Alligator mississippiensis: one gene and its partner. Each later gene encodes a partner of the first gene's protein in a complex. Links are inferred from orthologs where the notes say so. Each region holds a gene or a part of one and is shown in the gene's direction. Other genes may lie near its edges. The genes, in order: AMHR2 and AMH.

Region 1 (7,235 bases):
TCTGGTGCTGCAGAGAGGCAGCTTCTCTCCCTTTCCACTATGGTGCCCTTTTCTCCGAGGTCCAGCTCTGCTCCTCTTTTTCCCTTGGATATGATCCAGGTCCCCGGGGCAGGCTGGGGGTGAGTGTTATAGCACACCCTGGCCACTAGGTATTAGCTGGGCTCCGAGCAGAAGGCCAGAAGGGATCGCTGAGGGCCGTGCAGGCTCCAGCATTAGCTTTGCTGTCTTGTGCATTTGCAGGGTGGGGGGGGTTTAACTATTAGCGGAAGGCTGTTCTGCAGCCCTCACCCTGCCCTCTCCCTTTCCACCGGTTTCTGCTGCAGGATCTTAATGCCTTGTCGATCCATTTACCTCCTGCTCTGTGGGCTGCAGTCGGCAGGTGCTGGCCGTGGGCACAGCCCAGCCAAACTGTGAAGTGTCAACATGTTTTACCTAGTGTTTTTTACCTAGCTGCAGGGAGGGAGGGAGGGAGAACTCCTGCTGTACATTTTTCTGGCTGACATCTTTCTGCTCTCTCTCTCTCTCTATTTTTGCATTTGTATATTTTTATAGAGGAAACGTTAAGCATTTGTATTTTTGTACCGATCTGTGAAGCACTATGAATCCCAGACGCAGACCCCTGCCCATGCGTCGGGGCTTTCCGCCTCTTGCCCACCTGGGAAGTTTGCGGGTTCGATAGGAAGCAGTATTTCAACACTGTTTGGTCTCCCTGCCCCGCTGGGCTAGGTCAGCTCCTATGTCTCAGGCAGCTCCTTGAGAGAGCACTACCATCTCCTCCCTGTCGCTGGCCTTGATGTATCCAGGGGGATTTGGAGCACTCTGAGATCCTTGCAGGTTACAACATGGTGCGTGGCTGGTGTTCAGCACCGTTGCCCAGTACGTGCCATCTGGGAGAGCCCGTGTCCCTAGCGAGAGCATGTTGTCCTGCCCCTCGTCCATCCGTCCTAGCTGCTGTCTCACCCCAGCTTGTCAGCGCAGAAGCCTGATGCGTCTGGAAGGGACATGACAGGATTTAGGTGCCAAATTTTTCCCTTGCGGGACTGGGGGATCTGATGAGGAAGGAGTGGACAGTATTGTGCATTTCTCGAGCAAGGCCTGAGAGGGTGAGGCTGTTTGGAGCCCACGGGGTCTCATGGCATCCCAGAAACGCAAGCACTGGAGCCCATGCCCTGTAGGAGGGGGGCTCTGCCCATTGGGGCACCAGAACTGCTGTTGCAGTTTGCCAAGATGTTAATTTTCCTATGGAAACAAACCCAGCAGGAAGGGCCTTGCAGACTTCCTGCTCCCACAACCAGGGCCTGTGCCATGCAAAGCAGCAGCCTCCCGGGCTGTCTGGCCTGAGGTCCAGGGTTTGCTCTTGCTAGCTTCAGAGCAGCAGCTTCCAGCCGAAAGCAGGACACGGGCTCAGCCAGCAGAAGAGATGTTGAGAGCTAGCCTAGTCCATGCCAGGGCCAGCTAATGTGCAGAGCTGAACTACCTGTACATACCCCAGCCTCCAGGGAGCGGGAGCAGGGCAAAGGGACGGGGCTCACCTGGGCCACCAAAGGCTCTAGTGGCTTGAAGGTGCACAGATCCTTTCCCTTGGGACCTCTTTGCCAGTGCTGATTTCTCACGGCTGCAGATAGCACTGGGCTTCTTCCACCTCCTGGCTTGGTTCCCTCTGCTCTTGTTAGCATCACTGTATTAGCTGGCTAGTTCTGTTGGCATTGGCGTGGCTGCAGGCGCCTTGGGCTTGCAGCAGGTGCAAGGCGGCCACATCCCACCCTGGCAAAGATCCAGGGCACCGGTTCCCGTCCATGCCAGGCCTGGGGACCCTTGCCTCGTATCCTCAGTAACAACCCTGGTTTGGGCTGGAGCTGTCTGGGCAGCGATGCGGCAGTTTCCAACTTGGTAGGTGAACCCCGATTCCCCTGCCCTCCCTTTGCTGCCAGGGTCTTGCTCCCCTTAAATTGCACTGTTCCTTCAAGCACACACCAGCCGGCCGCTGCCTGGGGGACCCTGGGCCGGGGCTGTGGGAGCACTGTATAGTCCCTAGCCCGCAGGTGCCTGCGGGATCAAATGTGCCTTTTTTTATACAGGGGCTCCAAGCAGTAAAGCCATGTTCAACCAGGGGTCCCCTTTGCCAATTGGCCTCGTCCCGGGAATATCTTGTTTTTGAAGCAATTTTCGACGCCATAGATGGTTGGGAATGGCCTAGCTTTAATCTCCCCAGAATCCCATTACCCCTTGTTCCCACCACCCGCTGGGGAAAAGGCACGTGTCCACTACTTCTATGCATTACAGAGTGGAGGGGAGAGGGAAGGACCTTGCCGTGGGGCCCTCGAGGAGCCACAGAGACATTTCACCAGTGCCTCCCGCCGCTCACCGCGCTTTCCCTCGGGGCGGGGGTTTCGGTGTTGGGTGCCCATCGCCGCCGCGCGCAACCTTCTGTAACACTGGCAATAATCCTCTGTATCCATGTAAAGACCCTTTTATCTTGTAATGATGTCTCTGTGCTTTTTTTAATCCAATTGCCGATGTAATGATGTCTGAAACACATTTTAAAAGTGCTATTTTTTTTGTACAAAGATTAGATATTAAATGTAGTTTGGCTCCTTTGTAAACGGATGACAATTTTTTTTTTTTTTTAAAGGTAATAAACCAGCGTCTATGGAGTTGTATTCAAATCCAGCATGGCCAGTTTCGTACTTAAGACTGTTTCATTGCTTGTAGGTGGGCGCTTGAGGCCAAGTCCTTGCCTCGGGCACCCGTTTCTTTTCTCGGGTTGCTGCCATAAATGCAGCCCTGCTCCAGCCTTGTTTTACTGCGCTGTCAGAATAGGGGAAAGCAAAGTTACATAAGGGGCCTGTAGGATATTTTTTCCAAGGAGTTCATGGAGTGCTGCCTCTCAATGCAGGTGAGGGCAGGCAAAGGTACGTGTCTCGTGTCTCTCTCCAGAGGTCCTGGCTGCAGAAGCCTGTCTGCCAGCACATGTCCCACTCCTGCTGTCCTCGTCCTGATACCCTCAGCTGTGACGTTGGCACCGTTCTGCAGCCGGTCCCAAAGCCTGTTACAAAAGAGACCGGGTTCCCACTGTCGTGTTACAGCGGAAGAAACTGAGGCACGTGGTGGGGAATTGACTTCAGTGTTAAGAGTCCCAAAGCCAGGAAGGTTCTAAATCACTTGGGGTCTCTTGGAGATTTGCTCCCCTAACCTTAGTCACCAAAGAGCCTTGTGTGCTTGGAGAACCTGCCTCCCTTTCCAAGGGCTGGGAGCTTTGCAGACCCCAGCAGCTTGCACGACCTGGAGAAAATCGTTCACCGAGGGTCTGCAACTAACAGCAGAAGAGATCTCGGGACTCGGAGCCGACGGGCAGTAACCTGGGGGTACCTGCAGGCTGCCACCTGGGTTTTGAGGGGGAGGCTGGGCTCTTCCACATCAGGTGGGAGCTGGAGCCTGGCAAGCTGTATACACACGCATACATGCACAAGCGTATTGGGCAGGATGTGGTGGTCTCCTAAAATCACAGGATTTTAGAGCCAAACTCCTAATTTCGGGGCCAGCTTGGGCTCTCCAAGACTTTGCGGCTGACAGGGCTGTAGGGGCTCGGGGAAGGGTCCAGAGATGAGCGGGTAAAATGCTGGGGGGTCCCTATGTAGAGCCAGGCCCAGCTCCCCCTGAAATGCATGGCTGGCGTAGGGGAGAATGCAGCTGCTTCTGGGGTGGAGCAAATCAATGGCTGCACGTGAGCCCAGGCTGAGGGGAGGCCGATCCTGCTGCAGCTGTGGGGGAGGCTGGACTCTCCCAACGGCGCTGAGGGCCCAGCTTGGGGTAGCCAGGCTTTGGGGAGCTGCTTGCCCCACGGGCGCAGCTCTCTAATCCCGAAGCCATTGGAGCTGGGGAGCATGTGGAGTGGGGTTGCATCTTAGCTGGGACCAGGTGCCCCGGGGTGCGGTACCCCTGTCTGTCCCGTCGCCTGTTTCTCATCCAGCCTCCGGCTGTTGACAGCGTCCCAGCCCCGGCCCCCGCATGCAGCCGGCCAAGTCCTTCCCACCTGTGCCGGCCCCCAGGGAGGGCCAGCGGGCAGCCTGGGGTGGGCTCACATACACACACACGCACGCACACGCATGCTCCAGGTGCCAGGAGACGGAGCACGGGCCACGGCCACCATGGGCTCCGGGGCCACGAGCCTATGGGGGGGGCTGGGGCTGAGCCTGGGCCTGGCAGGTACGGAACAAGACAGACGGCACTTGGGGGGTCTCTCCACCCGGGACCCAGCCCAGCCTCATGTCTCCGCAGGCGTCTTGGGCAGGAGCTGCATCTTTTACGAGCACCCCAGCGTGCGGGGCAGCCTGCGGCACCAGGGCCGCGCGCTGACGGGCACCGAGCCTGGCGCTGTGCAGTGCCTTCAAAGCGAATGCTGCTTCGGCCTCTGGAACCAGAGCCACATCCTCATGCAAGGTGAGGTGCCCAGACACTGGGGTCCAGCATGGTTTGGATGGTGGCAAGACCCTGTGCCAGAGCCCTAAATTCCACCACGGGGAGGAGAGCGGGGTCTGCCTGGTAGGGCAGAGCAGTGGGGCCAGGAGCCCGGACGCCTGGGTCCCTGCCCGTCTGTGGGAGGGGAGCAGTGGTCAAGGACCCCCTCCTGGGTTCTCCTGGGAAAGGAGTAGGGTCCTGTGGGTCTCGTGGAGGAGCAGGGAGCCCAGACTCCTGGGTTCATCCCTAACCTGGCTGTGGGAACTCATGGACAGTGCTGTGGGAAGTGAGGGTTGCTCCAGCTGGAAGGATAAGCCTATCTGCTGGGTGCTCTGGGCTGGCAGCACCCCCCCCCCCCAACTCTGCCAGACCCCCGTGCCCAACGGGAGGCATTTGTGGGCACCAGGCAGTCGGGGTATGAGACCCACGGTGTCTTGGAAGGAGGTGTGGGGGTCTAGGGAGAGCAGAGCTGTGTTTGGGGTGGGGGCGGTGCCTTGACGCCTCGGTCCGTCGGTGTGTCCGGGGCAGGTTGCTGGAGCAGCGACCGGGACGGCTGCGAGGCGGTGGCCTGTGTACCCAGCCCTCGCGCCAACCTGCTGCGCTGCCTCTGCCGTGCTGATCTCTGCAACGCCAACATCAGTGCCCTGGGGGCTGCACCACAGGGTATGTACCCCCCCAGAGCAGAACTGGGGGATCCTCTGTGCACAGGGGCCTGTGAGGGCCTCCTGGACCAGGGCTGGGGGGGCAGGGTTACCCCTGGGGTCATGAGAGCAGCCTGTGCCCCCCCTCCCGGCCCCCACGGCGGGCCTGGGGCTGGGTCCCAGTTGCTATAGAGATCTGGGGGTCTCCCATTCTCACCTCAGGCTGCTCCCCCCCCCACCCCCCAGGAGCACCCAAGGGCCCTAGGCCAGGCCTGGGAGCCCCAAAAATGGGTCCAGAGCCTGGCAGAGCTGGCTCAGAGAGGGGCTGGGGCAGGGGTCCCTCGTAAAGACGAGAGCTCCATGTAGGGGGCCGGGGCCGGCTGGGGTCACAGGAGGCTCTGGGCAGGGATGTGGGGGTCAGCCAAGCAGAGGTGCAAGAGAGGGGGCTGGCTTGGGCTTATTTGTCTGGGGGGGCCTCCAGGCCCTGCCAACCCCCCACCCTTCGCCTTCATGCCCCCCACAGCCCTCAGCAGGCCCCTCTGCCCTGCCGGGATGGAGCAGCCCCCTCGCAGGTGCAGCCCCCGCCTGTCCCGTGGGGGAGTCTGCGTCTGAGCTCTGGGCCCAGCTGCTGAGACCTTGGAGTGGGCGCCAGGCGGAGGGGCCTCGGCCAGCCTGATAAACCCGTAGGAGCCGGGACTGTGGCGCTCACACAGCCCCGCCTGGCCCGAGGAGCCCCCTGCCACGGGGCCCCGGCGGGTCTGGCCGGACACTTGGGTTCTCTTCCCGGTTCTTGCAGGTTGGGGAGGTCTGGACACCTGGCTAGTTTCCAGGGCAGCTTTCACCTGGTCCAGCTGGACCCCAGGGGATGATGGCTGTCCCCCAGGGGGGTAGCTCTGCAGGCTTGCAGCCTGGGCCAGCCCAGGAGGGGTTGATTTTCCCCCGTTTTTTGCCTGCCTCCTGGGCACTAAACCTGCTTCTACCTCTGGCCCCCACCCTGAGACACCCCTGCCCCCCTGCCTTCTCTCCACTGGAGTCCAGGCCCCACTGCCTGCCTCCCAAGACTCTGGATGAGAACCAGATGTCCTGACTCCTAGCCCCTGCCCGTCCCTACCCGCTGACCCTCAAGCTGCCCTGTCTGCAAGAAGGAGTGGGGGGGATGTCTCAGAGGGCCCCCAGCCACGGCTCGGGGGAGCCATGCTTATGCCACGGGCCATGGCTGCTGGGGGCCGTGCCTCTCTGCACCCCTCTCCCTGCCTCCCGCAGCGTCCTCGGCCTCCACTCCCTCCGGGCCCCTGTGCATCGCGGGCGCTGTCCTGCTCTTCCTGGGCTGCCTGGCCCTCCTAGGTACACCTGGCCTGGGCGAGTGGGGTGCCAGCCCTGCCCTGGGTTGGGGGGGTGGCACAGGGGCGTGGGGCACTGGGGGGTGCCACAGGGGCGCGGGGCAGTGGTTGCAACCCTGGCTGGGGTGCTGTGGCTCTCCGGCCCCATGGTGCTGGGGATCCTGGTGACCTGTGTCTCCCCTCAGGGCTGTGGCGAGTGAAGGTCTGCTCCATGCTGCTGAGCTGCCGGGCCCGGGGGAAGCATGCCAAGGGGGTCCCGGGCCCCAGCTCTGCCCTCCCCAGGGACCCCCCCAGCCAGGAGCTGCCAGCGCTTCACTTCCTACAGGTCTGGGCTGGGATGGGTTGCCACCGGGGGCTGCCCCTGGGCATCTGTCCCCCTCCTCCCCTGGCACCAGTGGGATGGAGGGGGAAGCAGGGCCTTGGCCAGGTCAAGCCGGTTTATAGGCCAGTACTGCCCTAGCCTGGCCCCAGTGCTGTGAGCTTCCTCACAGCAGTGCCCTAGCCTACACCCCTGGCATGGTGAGGTTCACCACAGCAATGCCCCAGCCGGGCCCCTAGTGCTGCAAGTTTCCCCCCAGCAGTGCCCTGGACTGGCCCCCAGCGCTGTGAGCTTCCCCATAGCAGTTCCCTGACTTACACCCTGGCTCTGGGAGCTTCCCCTACAGCAGTGCCCTGTCCTGGCCCCTAGTGCTGTGAGCTTCCCCTCCCTCAGCAGTGTCCTGGCTTGGGACCGGTGCTGGGAGCTTCCCCTGACCAATGCCCTAGCCTAACCCCTAGTGCTGAAAGCTTTCCCCCA
Region 2 (7,174 bases), on another chromosome or scaffold:
AAGTACTGGTACTTGCAAGCTCCACCTTCTGCAGTAAGTCTCATTATAAGTCTCATTACTAGCCCCATTACAGGATCAAGCCCTGAATTTTAATCTTTGTTGTGCCTTATGCCTTACGATGATGTCGTCTTGACTGACAGTCTAAGGCCTAAGCAGTTTAAACAAACCCATTTGCCTGAGACTGGCTCACAGGCATAAGACCTTTGCAGGTCGACTTCTTTTCTTAGTCTTGTGTTGAAATGTTTCCATTTACAGTCTAATTACTCTTTTTGGAACATATGAAATGAGCTTCCTTTCCTCCCAGAAGACAGGCCTTCATACCCTTACAGCTTTTCTTACACCAGTTCTGCAAGCCCTCTTGCTTGCAGTCCCAGTTGGCAGGTCGAGACTTGAATGGTTTTGTAAGACTATATTCCGTTCGTGCCCCCAGAAGTCCCTAGAGGTGAGGTTTGAAATGTATTTTGGGGAAAATTTGTACAGCTACTGCAGTACATGCTAACTGCAGAGAAAGATAGTTAGCTGTGTTCCCCATGTTCACTGTAGAGAATAAAGAATGTAATTGTGCAGGGCTATCAAGCCAGCTCCCATGACCAGTGGTAAGTTCACTAACAATAAAAACATGAAGCTGAGAGAGCTCTACTTGAGGAATTTTCCAGTTTTGTTTCTATTTTGGAAGCTAGGTTTGGAGGCAGATATTGCCACATGGGATATACTGACTTTCCAAAGCCTGGCACTAAGGGGTTAGTACCTAGCATCATGTTCTGCTCCTAGTATCATTGGGGGACACCTCTGAGAGCCAGCTATTGCACAGTGACATACATATGCATGAGGTTCTGGGCTGCAGTATGGCGTGGCACATGCATATTTTCAGATAGGTGTAGGATGCTAAATTGGTCACTTCCAGCTTGGCATTTGTGCTGAGCCGAAAGAGCATGAGGACTTAGAATGACAAGTGGGACCATTGGTGCAAAGCTGTGGAGAGAGGCAGTGTGTAATATGGGTGGAGAGGCAGTGTGTAATATATACTTTTAGGGATCATTTCTATAGTTGGTGACTAGAGAAGTGTGTCCAAAAGTGACCTGGTCTTCTGGATCAGGATGTACTACAGATGTTGGTTCAGAAGCAGTCACCTAGGCCACGTCCAGATGAGTGCAGCTGTGAGGTATGTGGTGCTGCCAACCCATCTGCCGCACCACACACTGCACATTCAGGTTTTCCGTGTGCTGCGACCTCTGTACTGCTACGAAGGGATCAAAACAAACCTGTGTGGGGGGGAAAAAAAGTGGGGCAGCACACGTGGCAGCAGCATGTGCTGCCCAAAACCGGAGTCTGGCCAGCTGAAGCCATGCTCTGGCTGTTGGCCAGGCTCCCAGCTCCAAGAGCCCAAGTAAAGCTGCTGGGGCAGCACAGTTGCTGGGCCCAGCCTTCCCTTCCCCACCCAGGGTAACCTGCCACGCACCACAGTGCACGTGGCTTGGGTGCTCCCTGGGGATAAGTAGCAGTGGTACAAGGTGTGCTGCTGCTACTTGTCCCTGGGAAACCAAACGTCCCCGTTCATGTGGACGTGGCCCTGGTGTTGTTCCTTGAGGCATCAGGAGAGAAGTGGGCAGACCAGTCACCCTGTGATTTATTTTTAATCTCTCCCTCTTTTTGCTCTAGTTTTTCCTTCAGTTCCATTTCAAGATGGAGAAGCCTCCAGCTCCTCAAAGTATCCCTCCTGGGCCCCCAACTGTGAAGAGGCCTCCACCACCCCCACTGATGAATGGCTTGCCCCCCAGGCCACCCTTGCCAGACTCTCTGCCACCGCCACCTCCTCCAGGAGGCATGCCCTTGCCACCCATGCCTCCCTCTGGGCCTGTACCGCCCCCAGCACCACCTCAGTTGCCACCAACTCCTGGGGTACCTCCTCCTGCTCCTCTGCCACCAATGATGAGACCACCTCTGCCCACGGAGGGGCCAGGGACTATTCCCCCTCCACCTCCTTCCAACTGAAAAGCTTTTCCTGGACTCTCTCAGTGGACTTCTTTGATTTGTGTATTTTACTTGCACACCACATCCTGCTCAGAGATGATAAATATTTGTCCTTTTTATATGCCAGCGGTTTTTGCCTAAATCTCGTAGGTTCATTAAAAGGCTTTCAACTTTATTTTCTGCATACATGCTTCTCTTTTTGAGTAAAACTGTTGCCTTTGTTTTCATACAAGTGTTGTTTAAAGGCCCCACAATGAGGAGGTAGGAAAATTATCAGTCTTGAAATATTTAGTAGCTTATCAGAACTTATCCAGTTAGCAGACAAATGACTGGAGTTACCTGGAAATCTACTTTTAATTTAATTAACCATGAATTTAAAGTAATGTGAGTTCCTGAGCTCCAGAGTGACATTTATTTCCTCATAAATTTTTTATTTAGCTGGAGGTGGTAATAGTTCACAGTCCACATTGTCGCATGATAAATACCCACTATCACCACATCAGTGGGCAGCAGGCCAGCTCCCATCAAAAATATGGGAAGTTGTCTCCATTTCAGTAGCAAATGTTTGCACCGTTTTCACTGAAGATGGGTCCTGCCCAGGGTGATCAACATCCACTCCCATTGCCTGCAGCATAGTTGCACTTGTTTTTGTTCCTACCTAGATGCCACCATGCATATCTAGGGGTTTATGTACACAAGAAGTTACTCTAGGATTGGTATCCAGAATAGCTCCCTGCATGCGTGCTTTTATCGTAGGTCATCTACTTTGATCTGCATGAGCAAAATTCATTTTGGAAGTGGATTAAGTAGGTTGGAATAAGAATATGTATGCAGGGAAATACTTAAGAATAGCTATTGCACTTTTAAATACTGCTCTGTCTTAAACTGAATTAGCTTCCTTGTGTAGATAAACCATTGGCAAATTGCTGGCAGAAGATTTATGCCCTGTAGGATGTTTGATTTGTGTCCAATGCAGAGGTAGTACAATGGCTCCATCACACATGGCTTGTGTGTCAGAAGTGCAGACAAAGTAAGCATAAAGTAAAATTTTTAAGCAGAGAAAATCAATCTGGAACTTCTTTTAAATGAACATTTAACTAAATGTTATAATGACTTCTGGAGTTATAAAAAAAAAAAAATCGATGTTGGCTGCTGTCCTGAACCATGAGTCTTAACAGGCTTTGCGTTTTATCTTTGTCAAGTCAAAATATCCTACCTGGACAAAGCTTGGCATCATCATCGTTTGTAGCTACCCGGAGAAGGCTTGGAGTCATAGTTTGTAGGGCCCATTGTAGAGAATTCTGGATCCAGGAACCCTTTGCTCCATTGGATTCAAGGCATGTGATAAAACCAGCTATTGTGTGCACTGTAGTCAGCTCATGAGTAGAGTTTGACAGCAAAACCCTGTGAGCTAGCAGGAAAAGTCTGCCTGTATGTTTTGTTTTAAAGATGCACTGTTTTGGGAAAGAAATAGGCATAACATTTCCTTGGAATGGGTGTGATGGCCAGAATTAGCTATCCTAAATAGCATATTTACTGTTGGCAACAGAAGAAGTGATTAAGAAATCCTGTGCATGTGATAAGTATGGATTTAAGGTGTTTCATCTCTCTAGGCCATTGCAGAACTGCTTCTTGTGACCTTATCCAGTCTAGTTTAAAATAATCAAGGTATGTTTCCATTGCTTCCCTCTAAAAATCCCTTTCTGGTTCTCCTGCAGAAAAGAATTATTTTGAGACCCAAGCAGGTGAGCGTTTTGGAAGGAGCTGTGAAAGACTGGAGTTGTCATAAGATGACCCCTCTACACTGCCTGCAAAATGGAAGCACAGGAGCTGCCAGTTTAATCCAGGGACACTCCAGTAGGGAAAGGTTATAGATTACACAAATTTACTTTCTCTTAATTCCTCTCATTGTCCCTGTTTAGTACCTGCTGCTTTCTCTCTAACAAATTCCCCTTGGTATTTCCAACCTTAGGGAGGCTGTGCCAAATTAAATTCAAATCTAAACTTCTCTTCTCCCTTCCCTTCCCTCTCCCCACACACACATATACCATTCTTTAAAAACATTTTAAGTCAAGGACATGAATCCCTAAAAAGAAGGTAAACAGTTTCAATTTTATAACATTTCCAAGCACTGGTTGCAAAGCCAAAAATAGAAAGACTCCTTTGAATTGGCCCTCCCTCCTTTATAGCACATTGGCCTTTGAATTTCTCAAGGGAGGTGTGTTGTGCATTGTCAACTCAAGGTCACTGCCTTCTGAAGGGAGATAGAGTCCTCCTGTCCTGCACAAAGGTTTAAAAGATGGATTCTGGCAACTCTTAACAGCTGAGTTCAGAGCTGCTCAAAGCTGGAACATGGGTCCTGTGCTTAGGGTGGTTTTGCAGTGCCTGCTGCTGCTGTTCCCCTCTACAGCTCTACCTAGAATAGGAAGCTTTGGGGAAGGCCTTTCACCTGCTGAACTGCAAAGTACTGTTGCAAGAGAGTTAGGACTTGGAGAGGAGGAAAACATGAGTAGTCATGCAGGAGCAGGAAACTTCATAGCCTCAAAGGGCAGAGCCACAGTTGCTCCTCACCTGCTCTTGAAGGCTGGTGAGCCAAGAGGGGATTCCAAAGTAGTAAAACACAACCAGCTCATTACTGAAGATCAAGGAGTCTTCTCCTATCTGCAGCCTAATGCCAGCCTTCACCCATGGCTTTTGGGTGGGCTAGAAGGACCAGTGTGCAGGCTGAAAATGGACAGGAAGGATGGCCTGGGCCAGAGTCACTTGGAAGTCATGGGTGTCCTTACCAGCTATGAAAGTGACTTCATCAAGTTGGTGAGACATGCTGGCTGGGAAGAAGCCCCCCTGGAGACCTTTGGTCTCTGCTCTGCAGGGGACACATCTGCTGCACTCCTGTCTCTGAAACACATCAGTGCTCATTTGAGTGAGCCAGGAGAGAACCAGTTTCTGGTCCTGCACCTGGAGGAAGGTACGTGCTTCACTTTCTTCTAGGGTTTAATAAAGCAAATCCTGAAGTGACGGAGGCTTAGAGAAGTGCTTGGATAGGGTGGTGAGGAATGCAAGGCAACGTTGCTTTGCAGACTAGAGAGAAAGATGTTGCTGGAAGAAGACATCTGGGGGCTGGATTCTTCTCTAAGTGGTTGATAACGAGGGGTAGTTAGCCATGTTGGTCCGAAGTTAGGCAGAAGACGGGACAAGGTGGCATCTTACAGACTTGTTTGGAGAGGTGTGAGCTCTCCTAGGCTCCAGACTACTTTGTTAAATGTTACCAGTACTCTGACATAGCCTACTTTGACAAAGCAAGCTGCTGTGGCCTAGGAGAGCTCATGCCTCTGAATTGGTCCATAAGCTGTTACCCTGCCTAATTTTTATAATGCAATAGACTTTTTCCAACATGTCTTTAAGGAAACTACAATTCTGCTGGGTGACCTCTCAAGGGTGTATGTGTTGTAACTTCTAGCATTGTTGGCTAGCGGACACCACTACCACCCTCTCCCCAGATAAGAACTGTTGTCGCATCCTGGCATAAAACAGACCACCAGCATTTATTCCTCCAATAGTATCAGTAAAAGCCCAGACAATCATGTAGATAAAGTTCTCTATGTGGGGAAAAGAGAGGAGAAAACAGGACAGAAAGATTGATTTAGTTTTTCTGCATGGATGCTGCTGTAGTTCATGGCGAGGTTTGCTACAAAGGGAGAAAGTCAGTGGCTCTGCTCTTGCCTGCTATTAGTTCACAGGAGTTCAGAGGTCGTGCTGGAGGGCAGAGTGTAAAATCCTAGAGAGATCAAGTTGCTTAGCACAGTTCCCCTTTCTTCTTTTTTTCTCCTGTTGGTGTTAATCTTATTTCTGTCTCCAAACCCTGTTCCTGAGGAGAAATCGGAGTGCTTGCTGCCTTGCAGTCTGTCTTTGTCAAAACCTTGCAGTTATTCCTTTGCAGTAAAAGCCACAGGGAGCTCTGGTGAACGCAATGCAGATGGAACTTTGCACCCCTTGCGCAGCAGGGTAGGGAAGAGAAATGGCAGCCCTGAGCCTTTTCAAAGTGATTGCATCATTTAAACATCTGCATTTGAGTATCTGGCATTTGACTACTGGGTTTGTTCCAATGTTGTTCCAGTACAAGCATGGCTTTAACCTGGCTGAGTGTTTGGCTTCTGCTGAGACTGCAATGCAAGGCACATGCCCCTGTGCACTGCTGACCAGCCCAGTTTAGGGGGGTTGTTCTGTGGGTTCCTGCCTAAGTTCCCCAAATAGCTGGTTAAAAACTGTTTGAGACCACCCAGCGACTTTAGAGATGCACAATGCTCGCCCCAGTCAGTGGCACCTGAGCTCTCCGTTTTGTCCTTCGGCATGGTTTGATACAGGTTCTCAAACAAAAAAGCCCTTAGGCCTATGTTACGGGAAGCTGGGCTAGCACGCTGCCCTCAGCAGAACTGTATTTAATGTCTGTTCTAAATAATCCAAGAAGATCCATGCCTGGGAAGCTCCCCAGGTCCCTACACAGCAGCCCATGGCTTCAGGCACTAACTATTTTTGAATTTTAAAATAAAAACAAATATGCCCTGTCATTTAGCAGAATACATCACATTCCTCTGTCCCGTTTTGCTGCCTCCTCATTTGCATTTATTAAGTAGCATCAGTAGTTATGCAAATTTGCTGTGGGTTTTGCAACCCCTGGATCACACCTGGGTTTGAAGCTGGGAGCAGCTCAGTCTAAGCTTGGCTCTGGTGCCCTTTTCTAGGACGCTGATCTCTCCCCAGGCAGCAGCACCCCCACCATGTTGTCCAGATTCCTGCCTCCTGCTTATTTGCTGCAGGGGTGATGGGGTTTTTGGTTTAAATGTTTAAAAGTGCCTGCTAATTCTGTCCTCGGTGTTGGGATGCCCGACCTGATGAGATGCCCTAGGCCTGGGTTTTGAAAGCACTCAGTCCTGCCAAATCCAACTGCCAGCAGTGGATGCAACAGGTGCTCAGCAGTGCTGAAAGTCAGCCCCAGGTATCTCAGGTGTGGTACCCAGCACCTGAGCCCCCCCCAGTCACTGGCCATGCATAACATTTTTGGACTTGAGTTCTTCAAGTCTCTATTCAGGTCTCCATCCCACAGAAAAGTCAGCTGCTGTTTGGGCCTTTGGTGAGCATGACTATGTTCCCGGGTAGAAAAGGAGATGTGAAGGGTTCCCTGGGGAGCGCTGTCTAGTGATCG

What was found.
Region 2: the proteins of AMHR2 (region 1) and AMH are in contact, whole or in part, in a crystal structure (PDB 7L0J), measured with the Homo sapiens proteins. The link is inferred for Alligator mississippiensis from reciprocal best matches to the Homo sapiens genes AMHR2 and AMH. Residues at the interface, in NP_065434.1 of Homo sapiens: Gly31, Val32, Arg33, Gly34, Ser35, Thr36, Thr38, Leu39, Phe62, Ile64, Glu75, Met76, Arg80, Asp81, Ser82, Glu84, Pro85, Ser95, Arg97, Ala98, Pro100, Ser101, Leu106, Thr108; in NP_000470.3 of Homo sapiens: Leu471, Arg472, Glu474, Val477, Leu478, Ile479, Pro480, Glu481, Thr482, Tyr483, Gln484, Lys534, Leu535, Ile537, Leu539, Glu542, Arg543, Ile544, Ser545, Ala546.

Annotation. Positions count from the first base shown.
Region 1 is NC_081838.1:8,761,674-8,768,908, reverse strand, and holds the start of AMHR2 (anti-Muellerian hormone type-2 receptor), read left to right. Parts: upstream 1-4,052; 5' UTR 4,053-4,106; coding exon 4,107-4,440; intron 4,441-4,986; coding exon 4,987-5,121; intron 5,122-6,362; coding exon 6,363-6,443; intron 6,444-6,624; coding exon 6,625-6,764; intron 6,765-7,235. UniProt on the Homo sapiens protein: On ligand binding, forms a receptor complex consisting of two type II and two type I transmembrane serine/threonine kinases.
Region 2 is NC_081839.1:7,009,526-7,016,699, reverse strand, and holds the start of AMH (muellerian-inhibiting factor precursor), read left to right. Parts: upstream 1-4,156; 5' UTR 4,157-4,323; coding exon 4,324-4,939; intron 4,940-7,174. Other genes in the region: SF3A2 (splicing factor 3A subunit 2), read left to right, coding at 1,660-1,992. UniProt on the Homo sapiens protein: Plays an important role in several reproductive functions. Induces Muellerian duct regression during male fetal sexual differentiation. Also plays a role in Leydig cell differentiation and function.